Mus musculus: one gene and its partner. The protein of the gene in region 1 purifies or fractionates together with the protein of each later gene. This does not show direct contact. Links are inferred from orthologs where the notes say so. Each region holds a gene or a part of one and is shown on either strand. Other genes may lie near its edges.

Region 1 (16,434 bases):
GACTACTTGTGCTCTGCCTTCCCCGTGACGTCAACTCGGCCGATGGGCTGCAGCCAATCAGGGAGTGACACGTCCGAGGCGAAGGAGAATGCTCCTTAAGAGGGACGGGGTTTCGTTTTCTCTTCTCTTGCTTCTTGCTCTCTTGCTTCTTGCTCTCTTGCTTCTTGCTCTCTTGCTTCCTGCACCCTGGCTCCTGAAGATGTAAGAAATAAAGCTTTGCCGCAGAAGATTCTGGTCTGTGGTGTTCTTCCTGGCCGGTCGTGAGAACGCGTCTAATAACAATTGGTGCCGAATTCCGGGACGAGAAAAAACTCGGGACTGGCGCAAGGAAGATCCCTCATTCCAGAACCAGAACTGCGGGTCGCGGTAATAAAGGTTCCCATAAAACAGACTGTTAAGAAGGATTCAACTGTATGAATTCAGAACTTTTCAGCTGGGGAACGGTGGATACCAGTAAGTATAGCTTTACGAGGTACGCCTGGCCTTGAACTTTCTAACGAAATTCAAGACAGTCTATCAGAAGTAAAGTGGGGAATAGCTTTACAAGGTACGCCTGGTCTTGAACTTTCTAACGAAATTCAAGACAGTCTATCAGAAGTAAAGTGGGAAATGGCTTTACAAGGTATATTTGGCCTTGAATTTTTTCTGGTGTTAGGAGCCCTTTTGTTCCTTTTCACATGTTATCAAGTGATTAAGATAGGGCTGAAAATTCTAGAGGAAATTCAGGACAAGCTATCAGAAGTAAAGCGGGGAGAGAGAGTAGGAACAAAGAGGAAATATGGTACACAAAATAAGTATACAGGCCTTTCCAAGGGTCTTGAACCCGAGGAAAAGTTAAGGTTAGGTAGGAATACCTGGAGAGAGATTAGAAGAAAAAGAGGAAAAAGGGAAAAGAAGAAAGATCAATTAGCGGAGGTCTCTAGGAGATACTCGTCACTAGATGAGCTCAGGGAGCCAGCTCTTAGTAGCTCTGAAGCAGGTGAAGAATCCTCCTCTGAGGAAACAGACTGGGAGGAAGAAGCAGCCCATTACCAGCCAGCTAATTGGTCAAGAAAAAAGCCAAAAGCGGCTGGCGAAGGCCAGTTTGCTGATTGGCCTCAGGGCAGTCGGCTTCAAGGTCCGCCCTATGCGGAGTCCCCACCCTGCGTAGTGCGTCAGCAATGCGCAGAGAGGCAGTGCGCAGAGAGGCAGTGCGCAGACTCATTCATTCCCAGAGAGGAACAAAGGAAAATACAACAGGCATTTCCGGTCTTTGAAGGAGCCGAGGGTGGGCGTGTCCACGCTCCGGTAGAATACTTACAAATTAAGGAAATTGCCGAGTCGGTTCGTAAATACGGAACCAATGCTAATTTTACCTTGGTGCAGTTAGACAGGCTCGCTGGCATGGCACTAACTCCTGCTGACTGGCAAACGGTTGTAAAAGCCGCTCTCCCTAGTATGGGCAAATACATGGAATGGAAAGCGCTTTGGCACGAAGCTGCACAAGCGCAGGCCCGAGCAAACGCAGCTGCTTTGACTCCAGAGCAGAGAGATTGGACTTTTGACTTGTTAACGGGTCAGGGAGCTTATTCTGCTGATCAGACAAACTACCATTGGGGAGCTTATGCCCAGATTTCTTCCACGGCTATTAGGGCCTGGAAGGCGCTCTCTCGAGCAGGTGAAACCACTGGTCAGTTAACAAAGATAATCCAGGGACCTCAGGAATCCTTCTCAGATTTTGTGGCCAGAATGACAGAGGCAGCAGAGCGTATTTTTGGAGAGTCAGAGCAAGCTGCGCCTCTAATAGAACAGCTAATCTATGAGCAAGCCACAAAGGAGTGCCGAGCGGCCATAGCCCCAAGAAAGAACAAAGGCTTACAAGACTGGCTCAGGGTCTGTCGAGAGCTTGGGGGACCTCTCAGCAATGCAGGTTTAGCGGCTGCCATCCTTCAATCCCAAAACCGCTCCATGAGCAGAAATGATCAGAGGACATGTTTTAACTGCGGAAAGCCTGGGCATTTTAAGAAAGATTGCAGAGCTCCAGATAAACAGGGAGGGACTCTCACTCTTTGCTCTAAGTGTGGCAAGGGTTATCATAGAGCTGACCAGTGTCGCTCTGTGAGGGATATAAAGGGCAGAGTCCTTCCCCCACCTGATAGTCAATCAACTGATGTGCCAAAAAACGGGTCATCGGGCCCTCGGTCCCAGGGCCCTCAAAGATATGGGAACCGGTTTGTCAGGACCCAGGAAGCAGTCAGAGAGGCGACCCAGGAAGACCCACAAGGGTGGACCTGCGTGCCGCCTCCGACTTCCTACTAATGCCTCAAATGAGTATTCAGCCGGTGCCGGTGGAGCCTATACCATCCTTGCCCCCGGGAACCATGGGCCTTATTCTCGGCCGGGGTTCACTCACCTTGCAGGGCTTAGTAGTCCACCCTGGAGTTATGGATTGTCAACATTCCCCTGAAATACAGGTCCTGTGCTCAAGCCCTAAGGGCGTTTTTTCTATTAGTAAAGGAGATAGGATAGCTCAGCTGCTGCTCCTCCCTGATAATACCAGGGAGAAATCTGCAGGACCTGAGATAAAGAAAATGGGCTCCTCAGGAAATGATTCTGCCTATTTGGTTGTATCTTTAAATGATAGACCTAAGCTCCGCCTTAAGATCAACGGAAAAGAGTTTGAAGGCATCCTTGATACCGGAGCAGATAAAAGTATAATTTCTACACATTGGTGGCCCAAAGCATGGCCCACCACAGAGTCATCTCATTCATTACAGGGCCTAGGATATCAATCATGTCCCACTATAAGCTCCGTTGCCTTGACGTGGGAATCCTCTGAAGGACAGCAAGGGAAATTCATACCTTATGTGCTCCCACTCCCGGTTAACCTCTGGGGAAGGGATATTATGCAGCATCTGGGCCTTATTTTGTCCAATGAAAACGCCCCATCGGGAGGGTATTCAACTAAAGCAAAAAATATCATGGCAAAGATGGGTTATAAAGAAGGAAAAGGGTTAGGACATCAAGAACAGGGAAGGATAGAGCCCATCTCACCTAATGGAAACCAAGACAGACAGGGTCTGGGTTTTCCTTAGCGGCCATTGGGGCAGCACGACCCATACCATGGAAAACAGGGGACCCAGTGTGGGTTCCTCAATGGCACCTATCCTCTGAAAAACTAGAAGCTGTGATTCAACTGGTAGAGGAACAATTAAAATTAGGCCATATTGAACCCTCTACCTCACCTTGGAATACTCCAATTTTTGTAATTAAGAAAAAGTCAGGAAAGTGGAGACTGCTCCATGACCTCAGAGCCATTAATGAGCAAATGAACTTATTTGGCCCAGTACAGAGGGGTCTCCCTGTACTTTCCGCCTTACCACGTGGCTGGAATTTAATTATTATAGATATTAAAGATTGTTTCTTTTCTATACCTTTGTGTCCAAGAGATAGGCCCAGATTTGCCTTTACCATCCCCTCTATTAATCACATGGAACCTGATAAGAGGTATCAATGGAAGGTCTTACCACAGGGAATGTCCAATAGTCCTACTATGTGTCAACTTTATGTGCAAGAAGCTCTTTTGCCAGTGAGGGAACAATTCCCCTCTTTAATTTTGCTCCTTTACATGGATGACATCCTCCTGTGCCATAAAGACCTTACCATGCTACAAAAGGCATATCCTTTTCTACTTAAAACTTTAAGTCAGTGGGGTTTACAGATAGCCACAGAAAAGGTCCAAATTTCTGATACAGGACAATTCTTGGGCTCTGTGGTGTCCCCAGATAAGATTGTGCCCCAAAAGGTAGAGATAAGAAGAGATCACCTCCATACCTTAAATGATTTTCAAAAGCTGTTGGGAGATATTAATTGGCTCAGACCTTTTTTAAAGATTCCTTCCGCTGAGTTAAGGCCTTTGTTTAGTATTTTAGAAGGAGATCCTCATATCTCCTCCCCTAGGACTCTTACTCTAGCTGCTAACCAGGCCTTACAAAAAGTGGAAAAAGCCTTACAGAATGCACAATTACAACGTATTGAGGATTCGCAGCCTTTCAGTTTGTGTGTCTTTAAGACAGCACAATTGCCAACTGCAGTTTTGTGGCAGAATGGGCCATTGTTGTGGATCCATCCAAACGTATCCCCAGCTAAAATAATAGATTGGTATCCTGATGCAATTGCACAGCTTGCCCTTAAAGGTCTAAAAGCAGCAATCACCCACTTTGGGCAAAGTCCATATCTTTTAATTGTACCTTATACCGCTGCACAGGTTCAAACCTTGGCAGCCGCATCTAATGATTGGGCAGTTTTAGTTACCTCCTTTTCAGGAAAAATAGATAACCATTATCCAAAGCATCCAATCTTACAGTTTGCCCAAAATCAATCTGTTGTGTTTCCACAAATAACAGTAAGAAACCCACTTAAAAATGGGATTGTGGTATATACTGATGGATCAAAAACTGGCATAGGTGCCTATGTGGCTAATGGTAAAGTGGTATCCAAACAGTATAATGAAAATTCACCTCAAGTGGTAGAATGTTTAGTGGTCTTAGAAGTTTTAAAAACCTTTTTAAAACCCCTTAATATTGTGTCAGATTCCTATTATGTGGTTAATGCAGTAAATCTTTTAGAAGTGGCTGGAGTGATTAAGCCTTCCAGTAGAGTTGCCAATATTTTTCAGCAGATACAATTAGTTTTGTTATCTAGAAGATCTCCTGTTTATATTACTCATGTTAGAGCCCATTCAGGCCTACCTGGCCCCATGGCTCTGGGAAATGATTTGGCAGATAAGGCCACTAAAGTGGTGGCTGCTGCCCTATCATCCCCGGTAGAGGCTGCAAGAAATTTTCATAACAATTTTCATGTGACGGCTGAAACATTACGCAGTCGTTTCTCCTTGACAAGAAAAGAAGCCCGTGACATTGTTACTCAATGTCAAAGCTGCTGTGAGTTCTTGCCAGTTCCTCATGTGGGAATTAATCCACGCGGTATTCGACCTCTACAGGTCTGGCAAATGGATGTTACACATGTTTCTTCCTTTGGAAAACTTCAATATCTCCATGTGTCCATTGACACATGTTCTGGCATCATGTTTGCTTCTCCGTTAACCGGAGAAAAAGCCTCACATGTGATTCAACATTGTCTTGAGGCATGGAGTGCTTGGGGGAAACCCAGACTCCTTAAGACTGATAATGGACCAGCTTATACGTCTCAAAAATTCCAACAGTTCTGCCGTCAGATGGACGTGACCCACCTGACTGGACTTCCGTACAACCCTCAAGGACAGGGTATTGTTGAGCGTGCGCATCGCACCCTCAAAGCCTATCTTATAAAACAGAAGAGGGGAACTTTTGAGGAGACTGTACCCCGAGCACCAAGAGTGTCGGTGTCTTTGGCACTCTTTACACTCAATTTTTTAAATATTGATGCTCATGGCCATACTGCGGCTGAACGTCATTGTTCAGAGCCAGATAGGCCCAATGAGATGGTTAAATGGAAAAATGTCCTTGATAATAAATGGTATGGCCCGGATCCTATTTTGATAAGATCCAGGGGAGCTATCTGTGTTTTCCCACAGAATGAAGACAACCCATTTTGGGTACCAGAAAGACTCACCCGAAAAATCCAGACTGACCAAGGGAATACTAATGTCCCTCGTCTTGGTGATGTCCAGGGCGTCAATAATAAAAAGAGAGCAGCGTTGGGGGATAATGTCGACATTCCCACTCCCAATGACGGTGATGTATAATGCTCAAGTATTCTCCTGCTTTTTTACCACTAACTAGGAACTGGGTTTGGCCTTAATTCAGACAGCCTTGGCTCTGTCTGGACAGGTCCAGATGACTGACACCATTAACACTTTGTCAGCCTCAGTGACTACAGTCATAGATGAACAGGCCTCAGCTAATGTCAAGATACAGAGAGGTCTCATGCTGGTTAATCAACTCATAGATCTTGTCCAGATACAACTAGATGTATTATGACAAATAACTCAGCTGGGATGTGAACAAAAGTTTCCGGGATTGTGTGTTATTTCCATTCAGTATGTTAAATTTACTAGGACAGCTAATTTGTCAAAAAGTCTTTTTCAGTATATGTTACAGAATTGGATGGCTGAATTTGAACAGATCCTTCGGGAATTGAGACTTCAGGTCAACTCCACGCGCTTGGACCTGTCCCTGACCAAAGGATTACCCAATTGGATCTCCTCAGCATTTTCTTTCTTTAAAAAATGGGTGGGATTAATATTATTTGGAGATACACTTTGCTGTGGATTAGTGTTGCTTCTTTGATTGGTCTGTAAGCTTAAGGCCCAAATTAGGAGAGACAAGGTGGTTATTGCCCAGGCGCTTGCAGGACTAGAACATGGAGCTCCCCCTGATATATGGTTATCTATGCTTAGGCAATAGGTCGCTGGCCACTCAGCTCTTATATCCCATGAGGCTAGACTCATTGCACGGGATAGAGTGAGTGTGCTTCAGCAGCCCGAGAGAGTTGCAAGGCTAAGCACTGCAATGGAAAGGCTCTGCGGCATATATGAGCCTATTCTAGGGAGACATGTCATCTTTCAAGAAGGTTCAGTGTCCTAGTTCCCTTCCCCCAGGCAAAACGACACGGGAGCAGGTCAGGGTTGCTCTGGGTAAAAGCCTGTAAGCCTAAGAGCTAATCCTGTACATGGCTCCTTTACCTACACACTGGGGATTTGACCTCTATCTCCACTCTCATTAATATGGGTGGCCTATTTGCTCTTATTAAAAGAAAAAGGGGGAGATGTTGGGAGCCGCCCCCACATTCGCCGTTACAAGATGGCGCTGACATCCTGTGTTCTAAGTGGTAAACAAATAATCTGCGCATGTGCCAAGGGTATCTTATGACTACTTGTGCTCTGCCTTCCCCGTGACGTCAACTCGGCCGATGGGCTGCAGCCAATCAGGGAGTGACACGTCCGAGGCGAAGGAGAATGCTCCTTAAGAGGGACGGGGTTTCGTTTTCTCTTCTCTTGCTTCTTGCTCTCTTGCTTCTTGCTCTCTTGCTTCTTGCTCTCTTGCTTCCTGCACCCTGGCTCCTGAAGATGTAAGAAATAAAGCTTTGCCGCAGAAGATTCTGGTCTGTGGTGTTCTTCCTGGCCGGTCGTGAGAACGCGTCTAATAACAATCCTGTCCAAGACTGAGCCATTGTTGAAGGCATCCTGTCCATACCAGCCATGGGAAACAGGGACTGGGGATCACAGAACATAAGTTATTCTGACCTAAATCACCTGAGTATTTGTAATTTTTTTAAAAAGCACATGTGGAAGGAGGGAGCCTTTACCCTCACACTCTTCACTAAACAGCTACTCTGCGTTCACTTCACCAAACTCTTCGCCTGTCATACTGAGACGGAGAAACAGTCCTCCCTGCAGTAGTGACATCTACCAGGCTCTACAGAAATTGCCAAGAGGCCCAGGGAGCCACCCTGAGTAGTTGCCGCTGAGCAGGATTCATTTTCTCCCACAAGGAGATGCTACACTCACTGAAAGAAAATAAATCAGCTCATGGATTGAAGGGGAGAACCAAGAAGGATGGTGAAAGTTCTGGAAAGTTCCCTGGCATCGTGATAACACTGAAACAGTTGAGACAGGTAAGTGTAGATGTGTCCCGTAAAAGACCATGGGACAGAAGTCAGCTTCCAGTGCCAACGAGGCAGTCGTCTGTCATATGCAGATCCTTTACTTCTGAGGGCATTTACCCTAGGACATGAAACCGTGGGTCACATCCGGCTAGTGTCAAAGCATTAGCCTTGGGCACATACCTAAGCGCTGAGCAAGGCCGGTGGAAGTTGTATCAGAAGTGTCTCCAAAAAGGGAGGTGCACACAGGGATGGGGTCCTAAAGAAGAAGAAAAAGAACAAAGAACATACTGTGGATTCTCCTACTGTCAGCTGGGCAGCTTTGGGTTCCACACAAGGCAAGGAAAGGACGTACAACTGTCCCTAGTGGCTGGCACTTGTCTACAGCCAAGCTAGGTGACCTAGACACAGACTAGACAGTAGAACTAGGGCAGACAGAAGCCACCTGTAACGGGACCCATGGAGCTGCTAATGGTTTCTAAGACTGATTTCACATACAGGGGTTGTTTCTGTGTTACAAACTCCAAAGTAGCTGGGCGTGGTGGCACACGCCTTTAATCCCAGCACTCGGGAGGCAGAGGCAGGTAGATTTCTGAGTTCGAGGCCACCCTGGTCTACAGAGTGAGTTCCAGGACAGCCAGGTCTATACAGAGAAACCCTGTCTCGAAAAACCAAAAAAAAAAAAAACACCCAAACTCCAAAGTACGCTGACGGGCTTTCCGACCAGGAGGGAAGCCAACAAACTCAGTAAGCCCACAACAAGAAATGAGATCAGGGTCTCTAGATGTCTGGTTCAGTTCCCCAGCTAAGAAGCAAGTTGCCTGCCTTCGGCAGGAAAGCCTACAAGAGCATGGTTTGTGAGGACTTCTGAAGGTTAGTAAATGACTTAGAACTTTGAAAAGACACCAGCTATCAGTATCCAAAGAGCCAAGTTAAAGCCTTGTATGAAATGGTTGACCGATCTTGTTTTGGCTAAGAAACAATGAAGTATAAACACAGTAGTGTGCTTGCCTAGCATGCACGAGGTCCTGGGTTCAATATTTGGCACCAAAGGAAAAAAAAAAGCAGCTGTTTGACTAGGAAAAGGCCCTCTCACTAACCTGCTCAGGTCTGGTGCACTTGCCTCACTCACTGTCCAGGTTGAGACAACTTAACAGATTGAGTATCTCCCAGACAGTGTGGCAGGGCAGAGACTATATAATTCATCTCTTAAGAACTTAAGGTCACTTTCAGAATTTCTTCAGGTATATACCGAACAAGATTAAAAAGAAAAAAAGAACAGTATAAAATTACTCAATTTCTATCTTTTTGTTTGATACAAAAATATAATCATAAACCTGTTCTTTATAGACTCTTAATTCAACATTTAGCTGAAATGTACAGTGTTTACACTGAAGCCTACTGAAGTAAATCTACCTTACCAGCTGGCTTTTTCGTACCAAAAATAAAATTTTAAGCCCCATCTTGTTACTGTTCTTAATATAATTAATTACTGTCAAATAATTGGTCTCCATAGACACATGCTCAAGGACACATTTACTAAGGTGGGAGCACCTCCTCCAACTCCCTGCCATAGGTCAGGACCATTTTCCATCCCAGGCCAGCCACCCTCAGGCTGGCTTGGCTGGCATCATCCCTCCTGGGTACTGAAACCCCTGCCGCTATCCAGACAGGCCAGTTAGAGAAGCAACTTCATCCTGTGATTTGTGTTCTCCAAAGTTTGTTGTGGCCAGAACAAATTTGCGGGCAAAGGGAGGAGCACACACACATGATCTTTAACACTGTCCTCCATGGACCAGCACAACTTTTCTATGAATGCTCACAAAGAAAATAATTCAGGTGTCAGCAGCCACAAGCCCGCTAGTAGGACTAGAGCTGCCATACTCTCCACCTGCATAGATAGATGTGGCCATGTTTTAGTAGAACCTGATTACGAAGTAAGACCTTACTGCCTGACTGGCTACAACTTAAAGGACGCCCTGAAGAGGTCTCAACAACTCACCAAGTGACTTAATGAGCAGCCTGAGAGGTACTAGACACTAACCTCACCTTATATCACTAAAACTTCAGAGGCCAGTACTACTGGAATAACTGGGCAGGGAAGAACACTAAGAAGCAACAGGCCCTGTGGGGATCACTAGAAACTCAGTATCATACTCTGAATTCATCTCAAAGGGTCTTTAGCAGAGGAATGGCAATCCCTGATCTATCTTATTGTTTTATCTTTTTGCTTATATGTAGTGTGTATGGTATGCATGCATACGTGCATGCATGTTCCTAAATTTGGGTGCATATATATGCATGTGCCCCCCACACAAAGTGAGCTCATCCGAGGGTAAGGTAAGTCCTTCATCCAATATGAGTGGTGTGTTCAAGGAAGAGATGAGGACAGGCAGTTTAACTCAGTGGTGGAGCATTTGCATAGCACATGCAAAGCTTTGGATTCAACCCCCTATCCTGGAGATGGAGAGGCTCTGGGCACGTGACCTGTGAGAGAAAGAAAGGCCAAAGACAGCCAGAGAGCACTCAGAATAGGTAGAGTTGCCCATACAGAGATGAAAGGTCACAGAAGGGGAAGGTTTGAGTTTGTTGGTCAAGTACCTATCAGACACTCAAATCTAAGCTCCAAGTTCAATACAAAAGTTGTCTAAACCCAATGTAAAATGTAAAACGTAGCACGCGCACATGTCAGGAAGCTGGTGCAAGGAGAGCCGATGTTCTGGTGAGCTCAGAGCTCAGGGGCTGGGATGAGTTCCCTTTAAGGTGGTCCACGTGTGGGTTGACTCCGGGGTTCCCGCAAGTCAAGAAGCAGCCCTAGGAGACTCCAGCCTGAGGTGTTCAGAATAGGACCCCAGGGCACACTGAAGCTCCTCAAGAATGTCTCTCAGGGCCGCATGCGACCAGCCTCACTCCCACTGGTCTCTCTCCTCCCAAACCCTTCTTAGCGGTCCCCACCCTCTACCCCAGATCCTTCACCTTGAGGTCCACCGGTCCCCCCAACCCCACCCCCAACTACGGCTAGGCCCCGCCCCCAGATCGCCATCAAGTTCCTGGCCCCGCCCACACTCACGTAGCGGCTGCACATGGCCACTGCGAGGTTGCGTAGATGCGGCGTTGCTCCCACCCACAGGAAGAGCGAATCCGTCAGCCGCATGACATGAAAGTGGACCAGCTGCTCCCACAGCCTTGCACTGAAGTTGTGAAGCGACACGTCCGCGTCCGCAGCGGCCCGAGACTCCTCCATCCCGCCAGCCACCGGGCCACAGCACCGAGACCGGGCAGGCGCGGGCTCCCAGACCAGAGAGAGCGAGCTCCGAAAAGCGGAACGCTCTTTCACTTTCAGATGCGCGCGCCGAGGTGGGGTGGGGCGAGCATGAGTGGGCGGGGCCTAGAACAGGGCCTCCGCCTGCTCTAGCCTGGTACCTTCAGCCTCGCCTAGGAGTCTGCCAGCGATCTCTAGGAACCCACTGAACTACCTCTGTCCTTTTTCCTTCTTCCCAGGAGCGCATGTTAGTGGACTGAAACCACTCTCAGCATCTTCCTTTGCCCAGACACGGACACAATTTGAGCGCTTTAGCAGCCACCACCTCCCAGGCCCACCTCTGCAAGTCTCTAACCTAGCTAACATAATTTAACAGCAATGATCCTGGGAGAAAGCTGTAAAAAAGAACTGCATAGACCATGGCGGGAGGACAGGGTCTTCAGAGACAGGCAGGCACACCCTGAGCTGCTATCATGTAAAGCTCGGGTCTTGATCTAACCCTTTAACTTCTCTGTCTCTCTTTCCTCGAGTACAAAATGGAAATATGAGTAGGGAGCCTTTAAGATTTGAGAAAGAATGTGAGAGAGGGAAGCCCTGTGGAGGGTGGTGATATATCTGCCCTGGGACCCTTTAATTTTAATTACTGGGACACTAAAGTGTTTGGAATGAGTCCCTTGGTGGGTTGAGAGGCGTAAAAACTTGCCCGGTTTGTCAAGCTTTTTACAGTAGACTTGGAGACTCTAGGAACTGCAAAGAGTCTGCTTAAATTTCCTGTAACTCTTAGTGGATCAAATTGAGATTTAAAATGTGATGTGATTTGAGTATGGTTTGGGACCCTCCGAGGATCCACTGTGAGATGTCTTAGTCCCCAAGGGAGATAGATTATGGAATATCATGGGAGATCAGGGGATAGGCCCTGTCTGGAAGACCCAAGTCACTGAGGAAAAGGAAATATTCCTGTGATAGAGCTCCTGAGGTATTACTATAAAAGCAACAAGCCCAGCCTTTGTGGTTAATATTGTTGGGGGTTGGGGGGAGGGGGTTACTACACCCCCTTGTTACCTTTAAATATCTATTGGGGGTTTCTACCCCACTTCAGACCATATCATTACCAGATAAAAGATACAGAAACATTTAGATTTATAATAAGCTTAAAAGCACTAGAGCTAGGCAGATATCAGCCCTCTATGCTATATTACCTATTTTCTTATGGTGATCCCAGAGATGTCACTGGCCATGTTCAGCCTGGGCCATTCCTACTCCATCAGGCTGGTCCTCTTGACCATGTGCCCATGATCTACCAACACCATGGTGACCTCCTTCCTTCTTCCTCTCTCTTCCACCTCATCCTTATCTCAGACCCCAAGCCCAGAATCCATTTTTCCACCCACTCTGTTCTGCCTAGCCTTGTCTGTAGGCATCTTTATTGGCCAATCAGGAATAAGTTGGGGGGCAAGCTTTACATCATTTGGTACAGGAGGATCTCATCAGGAGGCATCCAGATTTGGGGGGACCAGCACTTAGCATTCAAATACAGAGCAGCACCCGTGCAACCCCTACACCCTGCTACACCCATCCTCCTCCTGCCTACTCTTCTCAGGCTGTGACCTCTTCCTGTATTTGTGCTCCTGTGACATTTGTGCTATGAAGTCCTCACCATAGCTCGGCCAGCACAGATACTGTATTCTTGAACCTCCTAGCACTGTAAACTAGAATCTTTCCTCTTCATAAAGTTAATTGCCTCCGACATTTCATTTTACTAACACAAAACTAGCAATATAGTAGAGTGTTCTTTATACTCTGTTTCCATTTGCTAATTATCAGTGAATCTGGTCATATTTTGACAGCTTTATTAAAGTATAATTATTAACATTAACATGACTATTTGCCCATATTTCAGATGTTTAAATTAGGGGGTGGAGAAGCTTGAAGGAAGGGAGGGGGATAGATGTGATCAAGTTCTATACATGTGCCAGGCAGTGGTGGCGCACACCTTTAATCCCAGCACTTGGGAGACAGAGGCAGGTATATTTCTGAGTTCGAGGCCAGCCTGTTCTACAGAGTGAGTTCCAGGACAGCCAGGGCTGCACAGAGAAACCCTGTCTCAGAAAAAAAAAAAAAAGAAAGAAAGAAAGAAAGAAAGAAAGAAAGAAAGAAGGAAGGAAGGAAGGAAGGAAGGAAGGAAGGAAAGAAAGAAAGAAAGAAAAAGAAAGAAAGAAAGAAAGAAAGAAAAGAAAAAAGATCTATACATGTATGAAAAAAATTTTTTTACTAAAATAAAATATATGTACTGAAGTTTTGACATCTGTATAACCCACGCAACCACTATCATAGTCAAAATGACAAGTCTAGTATCCCTCTCAAATCCCTGCATAATCACCCATCCCCTGGTCTATGTTGTTGCTATAGGTAACTGAGCATTTTCAAGAGTTTTATATAAATAGAATCATACCACACATGTGACTGTTATCTCTTTCATACATTAGAATATGACCCACCCAAGTTGTACGGATCAGCACTTCACTCCGTTTATTACCGAGCTGTGTTTTATTGTGTGCATACAACCATTTGTTTATTCATTCAAAGGTTGATGTTCATGTGGGTTGTTTCAGTCATTTTTCTAAATTTTATAGTGGAAGAGTCCATGATTCACTAAAGAATGACACCCCAGACTCAAATAGTATGTAATGCAAAGAATGTTTTATTCTGCAGAAGTCCAGCAATATAGACAACCAAGTGAGGTCAAAAGCCTGATTAGGGGATTCTATGGGTAGGTGACCTTTATCTTGCTCTATCTCTAGGGACATTCCATTACCAGGGTGTGAGGGCTGGAAACTGTTGTGGGGAGTTCTGGAAACTGTTGGTAGAGGAAGTCTGGAAATTGCTGCTGACCCATTGCCCTTGCCTCCGGCCAGGTGGTAGGGCAGCTTCTGAGGCCTGGACTTGCCTGGACTTGCCCAGTTCTTGGAAACAGAGAATTAGGCCTCATCTCCTGAACTGCCAATTTGAAGCCTGTCATGGAGTCAACCTAGCCTTCTCAATAGTAAAACTGCTATAAACATATGTATACAACCAAGCCCTGTGTGCTTCTGCTTCTCACATATAACACCTACCAGTAGAATGGCTGTTTCCTCCCATTGTATATTTGCATCTTTTAAGAATATGCTAAGTTATTTCCCCACATGTTTGTTTGTTTCTTTTCTTTTATAGGAGGAGTGGGGGGGGGTCGAGACAGGGTTTCTCTGGATAGCCCAGCCCAAGCTTTCCTGGAACTCACTCTGTAGACCAGGCTGGCCTCGAACTTAGAAACACACCTGCCTCTGCCTCTGCCTCTGCCTCTGCCTCTGCCTCTGCCTCTGCCTCTGCCTCTGCCTCTGCCTCTGCCTCTGCCTCTGCCTCTGCCTCTGCCTCTGCCTCTGCCTCTGCCTCTCTCCCCACATGTGTCTACATTCCCATTGGCAGTGCCTGAGAGCTTTGGGTCCATCACATCCTCACCAGACAGCAATGGTATAGTGCAGCCATTCTTTTCCAAGTAGCCATTCTATAGACATGTACTGGAACAACACTGCTATTTTAATTTGTATTTTCTTATTAGCTAAGGGACCTCAGTTCATATCGTACCATATACAAAAGGGAATCAAAATGGTTCATAAACCTCAACATAAAACCTAAAACTAAGAAACACAGAGAAAGGCAAAGGAGGGAACCTGGGATCTGACAGAGATTTCACAAGAAGAACATGATTCACAACAAACTGGTCAGTTGGACTGCATCAAAATCAAATGTTTCTGCTCTTAAAAATCAGTAAGAAAGTGAAAAGACAGGCCACAGTCTAAAAGAAAAATATTTATAGAGTAGATGTCTTATATAGAATTTACAGTCAGGATATATAAATAATTCCCAAAACATAATAATAAAAAACTAACATTGAATTTTAAAATGGGTGAGTCTAGAGAAATAGCTCAGTGATTAAGAGGACTGGTTGATCTTTCAAAGGACAGGAATTCAATTCCCAGCAACCACATGGTAGCTTATAACTGCCTAACTTCAATTCCAACAACCTTTTTTGAGTTCTATTGGCACCAGGCATATACATGGTATACAAACATACATGTAGGCAAAACACATACACACATAAAATAAATGGCTTTTATTTAAAAATAAACAAATGCAAAAATAAACAAATCCAAACATTTAAACCTGTAATCCCAGTATTCTGGCAGCAAGAGGATCATGAATTTGAGGCTAGCCTGGGCTACATGGAAATTTTCAAGTTAGCACAGGCTATATAGTGAGATCCCATCTGAAAAAAAAACCAAAAATCTTTTTTAAAAAAACTCATGCCTAAACCAGGTATGGTGGCGCTTGTGCCTTTAATCACAAAACAGAAAAAGGTGGGTGGATCTCTATGAACTTCCAGGGTAACCAAAGCTACATAGTTACCTAGTAGGACTTTGTCTCAAAAAAAAAGGGGGGGGGGGATGAAAAGGAAGAGAAAAAGAAGAAGTAAAGAGTTGACTAAATGTGTTACCAAAGAAGATACATGATGACAAGCCTTTGCTCACTCCAAAACATTGTTATAGCACTCTAGATATTTCCAAGGAGTTACATCTCAGTAAACCCATTAGGGTGGCTTCAATGAGAATGGCCCTCATAGGGGCATATGTTTGAATACTTGGTCTCCAGTTGGTGGAACTGTTTGGGAAGGATTGGGAGGTATGGCCTTGTTGGGTGTATGTTTCACTGGAGGTAGACTTTGAGGTTTCTTGGTGTATGATCAGCCTTTGCTTGCAGGCCAAGATTTGAGCTCTCAGCTCTAGCCACCTGCTAAACTCTATTCCACCATCAATGGATGATAACCCTCTGAAACTATAATCCCCAAATAAACTCTTCTATAGGTTGCCTTGTATCTTATCACAGCAACAGAAAAGGAACTATCATGTCCATCATAGGTAGAAAATGCTTGTGCAACTCCTAACCTCAGCATGCCAGTTTAGAGCCATGGCCTACCATGGAGTGTCAGCATGACCCCTTCATGGTCAACTGGGATCTGCCTGACCTCACCAGAAAAGAAGGAACTGCTTTTTGCTATCTCAGCAAAATTCCAGATATAAAATTCCAAATACAGTTTCTCTGAATACATATGCCTGTCATACCATCATAGAGTTAAGAATCAAATCACTGAGTTAGTGATTGTAGTGCAGTGTAATCATGATAGTAAATGAGCCAACCCAGCAACCATTCAACGAACAGGAACAGTGCCACCCACAGGCAAAGGATTCTAGCACATTCCTGGAAGATGGGAAGTAGACATGGAATCTCCTCTAATGAAACAGCAGGTGAAGAATCCACAAAGAATGGTGCAGGGGCAGAAGAAGGAGTACAGAAAGAAAGGATACAGTCGTAGTGCATTGGATGCATGCATGGAAATATCATAATGAAACTCCGTTGTACAAATATAATGTGCGTCAGTAAAAATAATCCCCAAATCTGGAGGGAGCAGCCAGGAAGAATGGCCCAGTGGATAAAGTGTTTGCTTTGTAAGCATGAAAACCTGATTTCAGATTCCCAGCGCCCCCATAAATGCC
Region 2 (15,905 bases), on another chromosome or scaffold:
TCCTTGGTGCTGTGGCGGTGTGGTTGATTAGGGTGCTGCTTTCAATCGTGTGGCCTTTGGGAACCCCGCGTAGCCACTGCCGCCTCCTTCTGTCCTCGCCATGTTCCTCACTCGGTCCGAGTACGACAGGTTCGTACGGCGGGAAGCAGCAGGGTCGAAATTTGGGTGGGCGGGCCTGGGGCCCGCGCCGCGGCCTGGGTTCTGCAGTGTCATGGGGCGCCCGGAGAACCTAAGTCTGGCGGGACCCGGGGAATCTGGTTCCCGAGGCGCCCGGCGAGATTCCCCAAGCTACACTGCAGCGGACCCGTTGCACTTGTCCCGCTGAGTCACCGCTAATCCTGACTCCCCGCGGAAGCGAGAGGCTGGGGCTGCTTGGGGCAGGCGGCGGAGAGGGATCGGGACCTTTAACCTGGAGTAGATTAGGGGGACACCAGCCTTGCGTCCGTCTTTTCAACCTAAGTCTGACTGCTTAGGAAAAAGAAAAGTGAAAGGAGTTTCCTTGAATAGAAGCTACCAGAGACTATTGGATGAGTTTGTAGGAATCCGTCCTGTGCTGTACATTTTAATCTTTTTTGAAGAGCGAAGGCAGTTTTCAGCTATGCTCGGATAAATATATTGCCTACAATCTGGTTTTGTGGGAACTTGAATGTACAGTGGTTCTCAGAAGAGTTTTAATACACTGATTCCATTTGACCAAAGTGTGTGTATGTGAGAGGAGGTTTGAAAGCAAGTTAATTTTAGTGTTGTGTTGAAAGCTAAATGTTTTGTAAAGTCAAAGCTGTGTGGTTGTGTTTATTAAAAGAGCAGACAACCTAAAAACTTTCAAGTCTCGAAAATGCTAACTAATACTGTCATAAATGCTGTAGATACTGTAACTTTCAGTTTCTGTTTTGAGCAGTTTTGCAAACCACTGGGTTCCTTTAAAAGTTAGGGAAAGCAGACATTTTCTTAGTTCCAGGTTACCACTGAGAAATTACTTTTCTTGGCAAGTATGTATTGAGCCTGTCAAAATATATATATGTCATTCCAGGTGCCACAATTTTGACAGGCTCAATACATACTTATATATACACATATATACATACATATTAATCTCCATCCTTTTGCTGACTCAGAAAATATCGGTGAAGTTTTAAAACTATTTCCTGTTGTCAAGTAAAATGGTCGTTAACACTTGGCTTCCAGAGTATTGAAGAGAGTCATCTTTAGGTGATAAAATGTTAAGAAAATTGTGATCCTCATCTGAAAGGCTTTACTGAGCTTTGCCCATTTATTTATATGAACTAGTTGCTTTGTGGATTTTTTTCTTTTGTATTTGCTAAGACTAAATAAAGCCCAGGCCTCTATTTAGCTAATGTTCTTGAGCGTTGGCTGTGTTCAAGAAGCACTGTTTAGGGAGCTGGTTTTACAGCAGTGAGCAGAATCAAGATCTCTACCCTCCTGTTTGCAACAGTAACTGTAATGTGAGACAGAAATGTATTGATGTTACTAGAGGAATCTAAGGCAGCACTGGACGTTCTGATGAGAGGCTGCATTCATTGTTGGAGGTTGGGGAAAGCTTCACAAAGAAGCTGATAATTCAGATAGGTCCAGGGAAAGTAGGATTTCTAGTAAACCAAGACCATGAGAACGAACAGATAATAAAGGATGAACAAGGGGGACCAGTGAGGAAAAGGCATAACACATTTGGAAAAGTCCAGGCTGGTTACCACATATGTATGATGCATGTTATGGGACAAGTAGGTGCTATGGAAAAAACAGGATGGTGCCAGATACTGATGGTTCAATAGACTTAGAATTTGGACCTCACTCTGTAGGCACTGTGTGCTATCAGTTGGGGGTGTCCATGTACCATATACATGCCTGGTGTCCTTTGAGGCCAGAGGGTGTTGGATCGCCTAGAGCTGGAGTGACGGGTGGGTTTTAGCCAAGATGTCAGTGCTGGGAGTCAGAGCAGCAGCTTCCTCTGGAAGAGCCCCTAGTGCTCCTAACTGCTGACCCAGCTCTCTCTCTCTCTCTCTCTCTTTTTTGGGGGGGGGGGTCTTTTTTGGTTTTTGTTTTAAAAGACAAGGTTTCATCTATAGCCCAGGGTGACCTAGAGCCACGAGGCCTGGAGTTTGGGACGATCTTTTCTGCCTGAGTGTTGTGAGTTCTGGAGTTACACTCATGAGCTGTGTCAGTCTCTCATATTTTCTTTAAAGAGTTGCCTCATCACAGTTGTTTTTATAAAGATTAATTGATTGGAAGAACGAGTTGGCACCAGTCAGGAGGCTTTTACAATAGTTAGGTAAAGGGTAACAAGGACATAGGGATGGAAGTGATGTTACCATGGAGGAGGCGCTGATAGGAGTTAGCATGACTTAGCATATGGTAGGACAAAGGGGACGGTAGGGAGAGTGAGTCATCATTCAGAGCATTCTATTGTGAGGAACTGAGAAGCTGGGGCTGTTTGAAAATAATGGGCATGGTAAAGAGGAGTTGGTTTTACAGAATGATTAGATTTAAAGGGTTATATTTCAGATTGGAAAATGTTGGATGTTGGTTGTAATTGGGCTATTCAAGGGGACTTGTTTCAAATTTAGATTAACTGAGTAAAAGTCAAACTGGAAGTAGAAATTTGGAATGATCGGTTTTAATTTATATGCAACAACCCAAGTAAGCAGGAAATTTGGGAGGATGAAGACAGAGCTTACTAGGATAATGCTTCCAAGTCGGGGTGCAGAAACATTTAGTCACATCCGTTTATAGGGTTCTTTCAGTTCTCTGCAGTTTACTTACATTATCACAAAGGCAGGGCCATTTCTTATTTTTCCTGAAAGCTAGTGGTGAGTCTGGTTCTCAGTGTCGGGGTGTGTGTGTGTGTGAGTGTGAGTGTGAGTGTGTGTGTGTGTGTGTGTGTGTGTGTATGTGAGTGTGTGTGTGTGTGTGTGTGTGTGTGTGTGTAACCTGGGGCTCATACATAGTGGGCAAGAGCCAGAGCTCTACAACTGAGCTGGTCCCCAGCTCAATGTCAGAGTTTTCTGACACAGTTTTTCTTTCCGAGAGCTTTCAGCTGTGCTCTGTGATCTGTTGGCCGAGGAGAGAATGAGGACTGGGTGGTGAGAATAATTCCCAGTGAAGTAGAGTAGTTGAAACCTTGGTTAAGTAGGATTTCTTGAGTTGATTCTGCTTTTATGCTGAGGAGTAACTTTGAGCAATTTATTTGATTTTCTCTCTCTCTCTCTCTCTCTCTCTCTCTCTCTCTCACACACACACACTCACAATTCTTTTTTTTTTTTTAATTACGTATTTTCTTCAATTACATTTCCAATGCTATCCCAAAAGTCCCCCATACACCGCCCCCCCATTCCCCTACCCACCCACTCCCATTTTTTGGCCCTGGCGTTCCCCTGTACTGGGGCATATAAAGTTTGCATGTCCAATGGGCCTCTCTTTCCAGTGATGGCCGACTAGGCCATCTTTTGATGCATATGCAGCTAGAGACAAGAGCTCCGGGGTACTGGTTAGTTCATATTGTTGTTCCACCTATAGGGTTGCAGATCCCTTTAGCTCCTTGGGTGCTTTCTCTAGCTCCTCCATTGGGGGCCCTGTGATCCATCCAATAGCTGACTGTGAGCATCCACTTCTGTGTTTGCCAGGCCCCGGCCTAGTCTCACTAGAGACAGCTATATCACCATCCTTGCAACAAACGCTTGCTAGTGTATGCAATGTCACAATTCTTTTGAAGAAAGTTTTGGTTAAACAGATTTGGAAGCTGGGCATGGTGGCACACGCCTTTAATCCCAGCACTCGGGAGGCAGAGGCAGGCAGATTTCTGAGTTCGAGGCCAGCCTGGTCTACAGAGTGAGTTCCATACAGAGAAACCCTGTCTCAAAAAAACTCAAAAAACAAAACAACAAAACAGAATTTGGAAACAGTAGTTTATGTATACTGTTGTGAAGTTTAGAATTCATGAACTAAGAATTACAGTTATTTGTATTAATTTACTCACAAACTTTTAAAATTGTAATTGTGTGCTGAAAGCTATAGCTAACAGTATGCTTGTGTCTCTTCTCTGCATGGATCAGCAACCCTAGTGCAAACGAGGGGCACATTAATGTAGTTAGTAAAGTAGTCTGGCATAGCTGTATAGACTTTGGCACCTGTGGATCTCAGTCTGCAGTGATACTATCTCATACGAATAGGTAGAAAAATGTACATTAACTGCTACAAAAAATAGCAACATCAAATGTACATAATGGGAAGGGGGGAAAAAGTCCATTTTCTTGGAAATGGCCTGATAGCTTTGGGGCACACATTTATCAAAGGAATTGGTTGGCTGGCTCAGAATTCATCCCGATTGATTCAAGTCACCTGCTTTCATTTGTTCAGTTTGGTAAAACTTTGGTCAGGTTTGGGAATTGGGCAGATTTGTGGGCCTTGGAAACAGTTGGTACACCAAAAGACTGAAAGGTTTGCTGTATACTTCTTACAGTTTCTAATATAGTTTTTATTCTTTTTTAATTACAGGGGTGTGAATACTTTTTCTCCTGAAGGAAGATTATTTCAAGTGGAATATGCCATTGAGGCTATCAAGGTATAGTAGCCAGTAGTATATTTTTGGAAATTTCATAACAGCCTTACATAGTGCTAAAAGGAGTGTTTTAGCCATTCTTTTAGAAAATAGTCTCACATTCCTTTAACCAACTACTGTTTTTATAACAATTGTAATTTTTGGAAAATTAGAATCCAAAATTAAGTAGACTGACACCTCAATTCCCCTACACAGGGCATCAATCCAGCCTTCATAGAACCAAGGGCCTCTCCTCCCATTGATGCACAACAATGCCATCCTCTGCTACATATGCAGCTAGAGCCATGTGTACTCCTTTGTTGATGGCTTAGTCCCTGGGAGCTCTGGGGGGACTGGTTGGTTGATGCTCTTGTTCGCTTACAGTGTTTTTGTGTTATGAAAGCAGATTTTGTACATGATTGGACTGTGGACCTTCTGGTGTGGGCCACTGCCCATCAGATGACAGCGTTTACCCTTCCATACAAGCAAAATGTCTGCAGGCTTTGTTGAATGTTGGTATTGGGAAAGAGAGTCCCCACTTAAGAGTTGCTTTAGTAGAAAAAATTAAACGTAGATGTGAATTGTTTCTGTCTTGTTCAGTTGAGGATTCAGGATCCTCAGTAAACAATTTCAAGTGGGTAGCTGAGGATGTAGCCCAGTAGTAGAGTGTTTGCCTAGCAGAAGAGAAGCCCTGGGTCCAATCTATGCCCAAATTTTAAAAAATATGGCAGTTAGAGAACACGGAAGTTTTAGGTTTAATTTTCTGGGCAATAGTTTTAGATTTCCTCTATCTATCTATCTTTCTTTCTTTCTTTCTTTCTTTCTTCCTCTCTCATTCTTTTTTCTTTCTTTTTTTTTTAAATTTTTAGGATATTCACATATGTAGTTTTAGAATCAAAGATTAAGATGTCTCTATAAATTATGTAATAAAAACAATCCTTTAGGCTATACCATCTAATTTCAACTTCTCTGAGGCAGCACTTAAAGCTTCTTTTTTTTTTAAGATTAATTTTTATTTTTATGAGTGTGGGTGTTTTTCCTCACCTATATTTACATGTGTAGTGTGCCTTCAAAGGCAAGAAGAGGACACTGGGACCCTTGGAGTGCTGATTATGTATGGTTCTGTTCCACCCAGCATTTGGATGCTGCCAACTGAGCCCAGGTCCTCTGCAAGAACAGCAGGTTCTCTGGCTTGCTGAGCCATCTCTCCAGCCCCACTCTCAGTTCCTTTATCACCTTCTATTGAGAACATGGGCATCATCTGATAGGCATCATCTACACACTTTTCATAATGGAATAAATTTCTGCATATCTGTTCTCTGGCCACCCACAGTTGCCTAGAGGATTGGACATAGTCAATGCAACCTCTCAAATAGCTTACACATAGCAATTTTTGTCAAATTTATCAGTAGTTGTGCTAGTAGAACTTTTCATGGTTGGGCCATACTGTGAGCATTTGAGAGTAATATATATGCATGAGACATGATGTACTCGTTAACAGGCCTAGAATCACCGAGGAGGAAAGCCTCCAGTTAACTGTGGTGGGGAGGCCTACCCTCACTGAGGGCCACAGCAGCTGGGCTTTGCTCTTGTGCTTGATAAAAAGAGAAAGCTTGCTGCGCACTAGCACTCGCTGTCTGTCCTTCCTGATGGTGTGCGCAGTGTGACTAGCAGCTGCCCTTTCCTGCCACCAGGCCTTCCTCCTTTAAGGTGCTTCATGTCATGTATTTTGACTGGGGCTGGAGAGATGGCTCAGCAGTTAAGAGCAGTGACTGCTCTTCCAGAGGTTCTGAGTTTAATACCCAGCAACCACATGGTGGCTCACAACCATCTGTAATGGGTTCTGATGCCCTCTTCTGACATGCAGGTGTGCATGCAGATAAGAGTGTTCATATACATGAAATAAATTTTTAAAAAATCAGAACTATTTTGAGCACATTCAGTCTAAACCATGCTTTTTGTGTGGATTCCTGGATGGGCTGGAGAACTCTTCCAGAGTTGAGTTCCCAGAACTCGGGTTGGGTGGGTCACAACCCTGTAACTCTAGGCCTCAGGATCTGACATCTTCTGGCCTCTGCAGGATTTCACATAAGGGAACGTACACACTAAGTAACACATAAATAAAAGTGAATTAAAACGTTTAAAAAGATTTATGGAATTCTGTGTTTGTTTGTTTGTTTTTAACAATATCAGGTTTAATCAGTGTTCACAGTTGGCGGGTCATTGTTATATAGAAATAAGTAGATGTAGTGGGAATCCAGGGAATAAAGCATGGTCTTAGGCGACTTTATGACGAGTGGATACATTTGGAGAGGCAGAAGGAGAGTACATTCCACAGGAGACAGCTTCAGGAAAGGTGGTAGTGTTGCTGCTAGTAATGTAATACTTTGAACAGTTGTGTTGTACCTAAGGGGTTAGTCAGTTAATAATAAAGTTGGAGGTGAAAGATAGCATCATTAGATTATGAGAAGCTCATTTGGTTTTTAATTAAAGGCAATACAGAGAGCATCAGTTCTTAAGAGAAATACAGTAAAAATCACAGTTTTCCCCTCAGTGTACCAATAAAAGATACATTTAGAGCAAAAGACTAAATATGAGACAAAGATGCTAAGTGTGGCTCATGCCTTAGGAGGCAGAAACAAACCTAGTCTACACAGAAAATTTCAGCCTGGCTAGAATTCTATGAGACCATTTCACAAGGAATAGATTGGGCGGTGGGGGCATGTAACAGGAACACTTGTTTATTATATGGTAGACACCATTTTCTCTATGGAGCTATCAGGACTGTCTTCATTCTGCAGATAGTTGAGTTCATAGTGCTGAGGTGTATAGGTGACACAGGTGAAACGGTGACTTTACTACACTGGACTGCTAGTGACTTTGGGTTAAGTTAGTATTTCCCTGTGGTTACTGAGGATGGCGTCTATTCTGTCCCTATCCCTTTCCTCTTTTCTTTCCCTGGGTGACATGGGTTTGGGGAGCATAACTATTGGACAGACTCATAGATGGCAGAGGTAAAAGCCACCGTTCCAGAAGAAGACAAACAAAAACCTGTGATTAGAACTTTAGAATTCTTCCTCCCAGTGCTAGTGCTAACATAGAAATTTTCAGATGTGTTCTGACCTTATAGACTGGGGACCAATCCTTGCTCATTTGAGGTTAAGCCCATGTACAGGATTCTGTAAATGCTTTTGCTAGTCAAGGGAACAGTTAGATGCTTTCTGTTCTTCCTGCATCCTAGGTATGGATAACTGAGTTTCTGCTTATGAAGCTGTGCAAGGATTTCTTTAAGCTGTGTGATAACCACAGCATGGTTTTTGTTTTTGTTTCATTTTAGCTTGGTTCTACAGCCATTGGCATCCAGACCTCAGAGGGTGTATGTCTAGCTGTGGAGAAGAGAATTACCTCCCCACTAATGGAGCCTAGCAGCATTGAGAAGATTGTAGAGATCGATGCTCATATAGGTGAGTGATGAGTGGGAGCTGCTATAGGATCTGGTGTGGGTTACTTAATCTTCTGTGATCCAAGGGAGGCCACACAGCTCTTCTGTTCAAGGCAGGAGGCCAGTACGTAAATCTAGGCAGTGGAAGGCAGCCTCAGGACCAAACTGAGGCTTAACCTACTACCAGAAAGCCTTTTCATCTATTTTACTTTTTGTAGTGCTTGGAATTGAACCCAGGATACTCTCACAAGCTAGGCAAGCACTCTACCACTGAAATATAACCCGATCTTTGGCAAATATTATACTTTAATACATTAAGGTTGGATCTTTGGCTAGTTCCTGTGATGGCTGTGTTTTAATTCATGCATGTTACCCTAGTAGTAAGCTAGCTGGAGCGGAAATAGTGTGGAAAAATGTAATGTCCACTGAGAAAAAAAGTAATTCTCAAAGATTTCAAAGTGTATAAGGTTCAGGGTGTTAAAGGAGTCATGTTAGACCAGCCTGTTCTGTGTGAGAGACTTAACTGATCTCTTCCTGCCCTCTCTGTCTTTTCTCTTGTCTTTAGTATAATTTTCTTGTTGGCTCTTGACAATGTAACATTAAAAGATACATACTTTTACAGTTACAGCTTTATATTGTAATTGGCTATCCAAATTTGCTTATCTTACCTACTCAACCCAGTTACTACAACATTTGCAAAGTAATTAATTACTCAAAGGCCATAAGAGCTAAATGCTTTGGTAACTGGGAGCTTAGTATTCCCTTTCATAGCTGGAGAAACAGATCTTAGAGTTGGAATGTTGTCTGCCGTATCTCAGGTCAACTGTCTTTTGGAGGTAGGTTAGTATCACTTCATTCAACAGAGAAAGATTAACAAAATCTTGTTAGACTCCGTGGCTATATAGAGGGAGGCATGGTACGTGTCTTCCGGGAACTGATGGTCTTATTTATGGTGGTGCACAGTGTGCACTCAGTGAGGATGTGATGAAGGAAAGAGTTTTGTCTGGGCCCAGTGGTCATGAGTTTTAGTTACTTTTACTACACTGTGACCAGATATCTGACATCTTAAGAGAAGGAACTTGTTTTCTGGCTTGCTCATAGTTTTAGAGGGTTTACTATCATCATGATGAATCCATCTGTGACCATCTGTGTCCACAGCAGGGAAGACCAGGAGTAGAGAAAGGAGAGTATTTACTTAGTGGATGGGCATGAAAAACTGTAGAGTGTTTGGCTGATTGGTCACTGTTGCTTTTATATTGCAGGTTGTGCCATGAGTGGGCTAATTGCTGATGCTAAAACTTTAATTGATAAAGCCAGAGTGGAGACACAGGTAAAATCAACATCTTCTCTGCTTTTCATTGTGATGCATGCAGTCCTTGTTTAGTGATGACAGAGCTACCAAGGCTACATTGCAATGTCTGTGCCCGTATTAGACATGGCTCTTGAGAGTTTTGGGTCCATTCCCCTGCTAAAACACCTCGGGACTTAGGACTTAGCTCTCCAGCCATTGCAACAGAAAGCAAGCTCTGGTTAATAGGGCCTACAGCCTCTTACTTCTTCTAGGCTCACCTTGTGTAAAGCATACACTGTATCCCCTGATTAACTACCTGGGGGCCATCATAGAGGGATGTGGTCATAGAAAGAGGGTATCCTGACAGCTGCCTTTTCTGCCAGGCTTATAAAGTTGTTCTCATCTGGTAAGCAATGATTTGTGCCAGGTGACAAATTCAGGTTAGGAATGCTGGGGTTTTTTTTTGTTTTTTTAATAAAACAACAAAAACCCATAAGCAAATCCTTGGCTATTTGTGCTTTGACTGTAGTAGGCTAATAAGGGAAACAACTAATCACAAGGTAGTTTTTGCACATATTTCCAAGTTTGTCCTTTATACTTAGTAATAATTTAACATAAACTCTTAACAAGGTAAGGTGAGTGTCTAAAGAAAATTGACACTTGGATATTTACACTGACTTTGTGAAAGAACTAAACTTGCTGCCTTGTTTTTAGGTGTCACTGTTTTGCATGGGTAGCAGCCTCTAGGTCATCCTTATTTCCAGAGCTTATCAGTGTGTACCCTCTCCCTCTGTCCTCCTCCTCTTCATTTTTCCCTGCTCCCTCTTAAGACATGGTCTTTCTGTGACCAGCTCAGACTAGCCTTAAAAGTCACCATCCTCCTGAGGGTGGGGATCATGGGCATATGCCATCGTATCTGGCAGTCAGAGCTGTTCCTCTTCTGATATAACCCAAGCACTCAGTGGCTAGTGTTAGTCAAGAAAAGCATGTTAAACCGGGCAGCGGTGGCGCACGCCTTTAATCCTAGCACAGGGGAGGCAGAGGCAGGTGGATTTCTGAGTTGGAGGCCAGCCTGGTCTACAGAGTGAGCTCCAGGACAGCCAGGGCTACACAGAGAAACCTTGTCTCAAAAAACAAAAACAAAAACATGTTGATCTGGGCAGGTGGTCTGTCTTAGCTCTTGGGAGGCTGAGGTGGGAGGATTGTAAGTTCTGGGTCTGACATTCAGAGAGACCCTGTCCCAAACAGAAGAGGCATGTGAGCACGAGGTGATGGTTGGTGTGAGTTTCCTTTTTACCAAGAAGCAGTATCATTCTTTACCCTTTTTATAGAACCACTGGTTCACCTATAATGAGACAATGACAGTTGAGAGTGTGACCCAGGCTGTGTCCAATCTGGCTCTGCAGTTTGGAGAAGAAGATGCAGATCCAGGTGCTATGGTGAGTTAGTTCTGATGCTTGTGCTGAGCCTGCTTGCTGTTCTGGGGGACTGAGAACATTTGTCCTCTGCACACATTTCTGAGGACTCTCATTATTTGTTGCCTCTTCTAAATTAATTCTTTTTGGTTCTAGTCTCGTCCCTTTGGAGTAGCATTGTTGTTTGGAGGAGTTGATGAGAAAGGACCCCAACTGTAAGTACCATTTCCCACCCCTGCTTTGGGATGGCAGGGCAGGTGGATCTACGTGAGTTCGATTCCAGCCAGGGCTACACGGAGAAACTTTGTTCAAAAAACCAACCAACCAGTGAATGAATAAATGAGATAAAAAAATAAAAGGAAAGAAGCAAAAATTGATGAAAAGTAGGACTTCTGAGCCAGTGTTTCTGTGCTGTTTATACCAGTGTTGGGACCCATGAAGAAGCCTCTGTCTAGCCAGCACTAATTCTCTAAAGCTTACACATTGCCTCATTGCTGTTACCATGTGGTGCTCACTCTCACATCGGTGTAGCACATAAGATTGACATAGGCATACGTGGTCATTCTCCTGTTGATGTCTTAGGTGGACATAGGTGCCATGGTGATGTATACTCTCTGTCATTCTCTCACCCAAGATCCTGAGGAAGTTCATGATTTTATTAATGTTTTCTTTTTTTAAAAATTAGTTTAATGTTTAAATTTTAATGTTAAATTTGAATTTTTTGTTTAGCACATAAAATAGGTTTTATTGTAACATTTCCATATGTACACAGATGTGTATATCATTAGTCAGGACCCTTTAAAAGAACTGTTTTTTCAAAATAAAAAGTCTTTAGGGGCTGTGCCTCAGTATTGCAGTGGCATGTCCTGGCTCCAGGGTAAAATGCTTATACTTCTTTTAGTGAGGTATTTGTGGCTTAAGACGCCCTTTTAAACATTGATGTCTTTTCAGGTTTCACATGGACCCATCTGGGACCTTTGTACAGTGTGATGCTCGAGCAATTGGCTCTGCTTCTGAGGGTGCCCAGAGCTCCTTGCAAGAAGTTTACCATAAGGTAATCCATCATTCTCACTGTTCTTGCAATCTTTAAAGTCAGTGTTTAACGTCTGTGTGAGTAAAACTATAGACCTGGAATCACAACCTAAAACAAGACACAGAACACAATTTATCTGCCAAAGTGCTTATTCATCTTTCTCTTCATTTGCAACTATTTACCAGTATAGATTTGTCTGTTCTTGTCCTTTTCATAAGTGAAATTAATACAGCTTTGCCACTTTGGTTGTTATGAGTTTATGCTGGCTTTCTACACTAATGTGCTTTACCACTGATCTTTTTTAGTTCCTGAGACAGGGTCTCTCTTTGTAGTTCTAGATGGACTGTACTTGCTAAGTAGACTTGGCTGGTCTCAAACTCATTGAGATCCTCTTACTTCTGCTTTCCTAGCTCTGGGATTAAAGGAATATGCCACCAAGCCTAGCTTTCTTATTGTACTGTTAGGTTAGTTTTGTTTTGTTTTTTTTGCTGAATAATATGCCATGCTATGACTATAGCACAATGTTTGTCTTCTATCCTGACAGCTTCACTTAGCAGTTAATAATGCCTAGTGTGGATATTGAGGCAAGTGAGTAGTTGGTACTTCCTTTCTAGAATAGGAAGATTTGGGTTTTTGTAGTTCATTTCTATGGTTGAAGGCTGCCACACCCAGGTGGGTCACATAGGGAATCTCTGCTCATATTAACATAGGCGTATTTAAGAGGTATTTTAGGTTTGGCATATAAATAAGTCTATACAAAAATTAGGTTTTCATTATACTGTAACTATTAGTTACTTTTCTATCACGATGATAGAACACAATGACCAAGTTTATAGAAGGAAGTTTATAGAAGGAAGGATTTATTTGGGCTTATGACTCCAGAGGGATAAGAGTCCATCATTGTGGGAATACATGGCAGCAAGTGGCATGCAAGGCTCCAGGAGCAGGAGAGCTCACAGTTTCAATGCAAGCACAAAGAAGAGAAAGCAAACTGGAAGTAGGGTGACGCTTTAAGCTCTCAAAGCCTGCCCCCAGGGAATATTTGCTCCAGCAAGGTTATCCCTCCTAAGCCTCCCCAAATAGTACCACCAACTGGGCACCAAGCACTCAGATATCAGAACCTGTGGGAATATTGCTCATTTAAATCAACACAGTGTGTAGTAAGTAGCATTATGTCTGAAAGCTTTTCACAATTTAATTGCAATTTTTTTCCACTAAAAATGATAAGCAAATTGTAATTCTTTTGCTATGGTGCTGGTGGCTTTTAAGGGTTAGGTAGCTGTGACAGCTTCTTACGGGGATACAGGAGCGTCTGTGGCATCAACGAACTGTTGTTTTCATGAAAAATTAGGTGTAGTATATGAATGAGAGTGTGTGATAGTGTCTATGCACAGAATTTTCATTCCAAACTGATTGATGCTCAGGCTTTTCTGTGCTTTATCAGCTAAACTTATGTTAATATAAAAGGGAAAGGGAGGGCTGGGACTGTAGCTCCTGGAAGATCACTTGCACAAATACATGAGGCTGTACATTGTTAAAATTGCTTTTTAAAAAGGGGCCTTTTCTTTCCCTTTTCACAGCTTGCTTAACTAATTTGGCACAAGAGGCCTAGCTTTCAGCCTAACTCAAATCTTGATAAACTGGACTAAGCGTTCTCATTTTCAGGTTTTGGTTTAAAGCGGGAAGCATGGGACTCTACCTTTTACTGTAGTAACATCCTTAGATTGACCTCGTTCAGTATTGTTGTCTTGGGAATGTAGAAAAATCCCTCCAAAAGATGGGCAGTACAGCAGTGAGGATATCTGCTACATTTGTCAAGGTTGATTCCTGTAATGTGGCTTGTGGGACTCGAGCAATTACGGCAATAGCACCACAAGTGACTTGCTAGGTTTCCAGGATCTGTCTTAGTATAGTGCTTCTCTTGTAAGCATGATCCCCAGAAACCACATTAATAAAGCCATGGGAACTGTGCCTCAGTGGGTAAGAACAAACTGCTCTCACAGAGGACTCGAGTTTGGTTCGTAGAACCCATGTCACCTGTAACTGCAGCTCTAGGGAATCTGACACCCTTTTTTGGTCTCTGAGGGCACTTGCACTCCTGTGTATACCCACACAAAGATGGACATCGTTAAAAAAAAATTCTTGGAAAATGGAGGGGGCAGCCAGGCGTCTGTAGTACAGGCTTTTAATCCCAGTGCTGGGGAGGCAGAGACGGGTGGCTCACTGGAGCTGACTTGGTAGGCAGCCTAGCCTGCTTGGTGAATTCCAGACCAGAGAGAGATTGATTTCAAAAAGGTATCTGTGGAGTAACATCCAAGTTGTCCTCTGACTTCCACTTGGGTGCATGTGCAACCCCCCCCCCCCAACAAACACCCCCACACACACACATCTGCACATACCTGAAAATACAGACACTAAAGAGAGGAAAAATGGTTACCAAACAGATCACACTGTTGTGAGAATTAATCAGAAATAACAGACACAGAATAATCCATTGCTTTTAGAAAATGTTACCAGTAAGCTTGTTCAATATGAGGTTGCCACTGATCTGCAGTATTTGCTAAGTGCAGCACAACAAAGCACAATAAAATGCGGTTTGCTTGTAATATAGCTTTCATATGTAGAGAAAATTAAATGTTAGTTAGTGCTGTGTGTGTATGTGTACACAAGTGAGAGCCATATAGGAAGAGGAATTTGAAATGAGAGAATACCTCATCAAATTAGTTTTTGGGCAAATCCTTAGGATGTTTTCTTGATTAGTGATTAGTACGGGAGGGTCTAGCTCACTACAGGTGGTGCCACCTCTGTGCAGGTGGTTCTGGGATGTATAAGATAGCAAATTGAGCAAGCCAGGAAGAGCAAGCCAGTAAGCAGCATTCCTCCATAGCCTCTGCTACCTTTCCTTCCTCTACTTCCCTCAGTGATGGAGTGTGACCTGAGAGTTCTAAGATGAAATAAATCCTTTCTTCCAAAGGTACTGTTGGTCATGGTGTTTATCACATCAATAGGAACCCTAAGACAGGAAATAAAATGGAAAGTGGATTTTCTGAATCATTGGATTGCCCTCTTTAGGTCACTTGGATATTACTAGGCTGTTCACCAGGTTATATCATCCTCTAGATCATGGAATTGAGATAAGCATATACTAGGGACGCACAGCCCTGTCCTCTTTCTCAAAGATGATTTACTAGATGAGCGTTAGTGAGACATTTTTCTTCTAAGTATATATCCTTGAATATTTACATTATTATATAATGTACTACATTATACAAATAAGGTGTAAGGTTTATTAATATCAGCTAAGTTGTTTCTGCAGAGAGATGCGGGGAGGGTTAAAGGAAGGAATCACGTTCAACTAACAGCTCCTCTCTCTCTCTGAAGTCTATGACTCTGAAGGAGGCCATCAAGTCCTCGCTCATCATCCTCAAGCAAGTCATGGAGGAGAAGCTGAATGCAACCAACATCGAGGTACTGCTCCCGCCCGCCCGCCTCGCGCCCTTGCTGAGACGACTGTCTGAAAAACAGTTGGTCTGATCTGTGTTTTCGTCATTGATAGCATTTGCATCCTAATCAGTGCTAATGAAGTGGTGATGATGGGAGCCAAGTACAGTGGATTTAAGAATGAAGGAAAGGACTGGGTGTGCTTCTTTCTTAGGGCTGATTAATGTCAGCAGAAACACAGCACTAAAGAGACATAAAGAGATTAATGATAGGAAATTGTAAAGGGGTGAAGACAGTACAAAGGTGTTTCAAAAAGTAAAACAAGCCGGGCAGTGGTGGCGCACGCCTTTAATCCCAGCACTTGAGAGGCAGAGGCAGGCGAATTTCTGAGTTCGAGGCCAGGCTGGTCTACAGAGTGAGTTCCGGGACAGCCAGGGCTACAGAGAAACCCTGTCTCAAAAACAATAACAACAAAAATTAATTGTTCTCGAGATGCTAATACATGTAGCCAGCTTTGTTTTAGGAAGTATGACAGGTGCAGAGAAAGAGTATAGGAAATCCAGTCCCTAGCTAAGAGCTGTGCTATGCTACACATAGGTAATAAGGGTGTGGGTAGAACTTCTGGACTCATCAGTAAGAACAGCTTTCCGTGTGAACATGGGCCTAGAGAAGGATATGAGGAAGCATCCTGAAGAGCTGATGTCTGGAGGAGGGGCCAAAGTGCTACCCCA

Evidence for each region.
Region 2: the proteins of Psmg4 (region 1) and Psma5 purify together in Homo sapiens (co-immunoprecipitation; 3 studies listed by BioGRID and IntAct, with this or other methods). This does not show direct contact. The link is inferred for Mus musculus from reciprocal best matches to the Homo sapiens genes PSMG4 and PSMA5.

Annotation. Positions count from the first base shown.
Region 1 is NC_000079.6:34,157,470-34,173,903, reverse strand, and holds the start of Psmg4 (proteasome assembly chaperone 4), read right to left. Parts: upstream 10,941-16,434; 5' UTR 10,829-10,940; coding exon 10,655-10,828; intron 7,844-10,654; coding exon 7,768-7,843; intron 1-7,767. UniProt on the Homo sapiens protein: Chaperone protein which promotes assembly of the 20S proteasome.
Region 2 is NC_000069.6:108,257,177-108,273,081, forward strand, and holds part of Psma5 (proteasome subunit alpha type-5), read left to right. Parts: 5' UTR 1-100; coding exon 101-129; intron 130-4,509; coding exon 4,510-4,576; intron 4,577-7,889; coding exon 7,890-8,016; intron 8,017-9,256; coding exon 9,257-9,324; intron 9,325-10,616; coding exon 10,617-10,724; intron 10,725-10,856; coding exon 10,857-10,915; intron 10,916-11,651; coding exon 11,652-11,754; intron 11,755-15,114; coding exon 15,115-15,201; intron 15,202-15,905. UniProt on the Homo sapiens protein: Component of the 20S core proteasome complex involved in the proteolytic degradation of most intracellular proteins. This complex plays numerous essential roles within the cell by associating with different regulatory particles.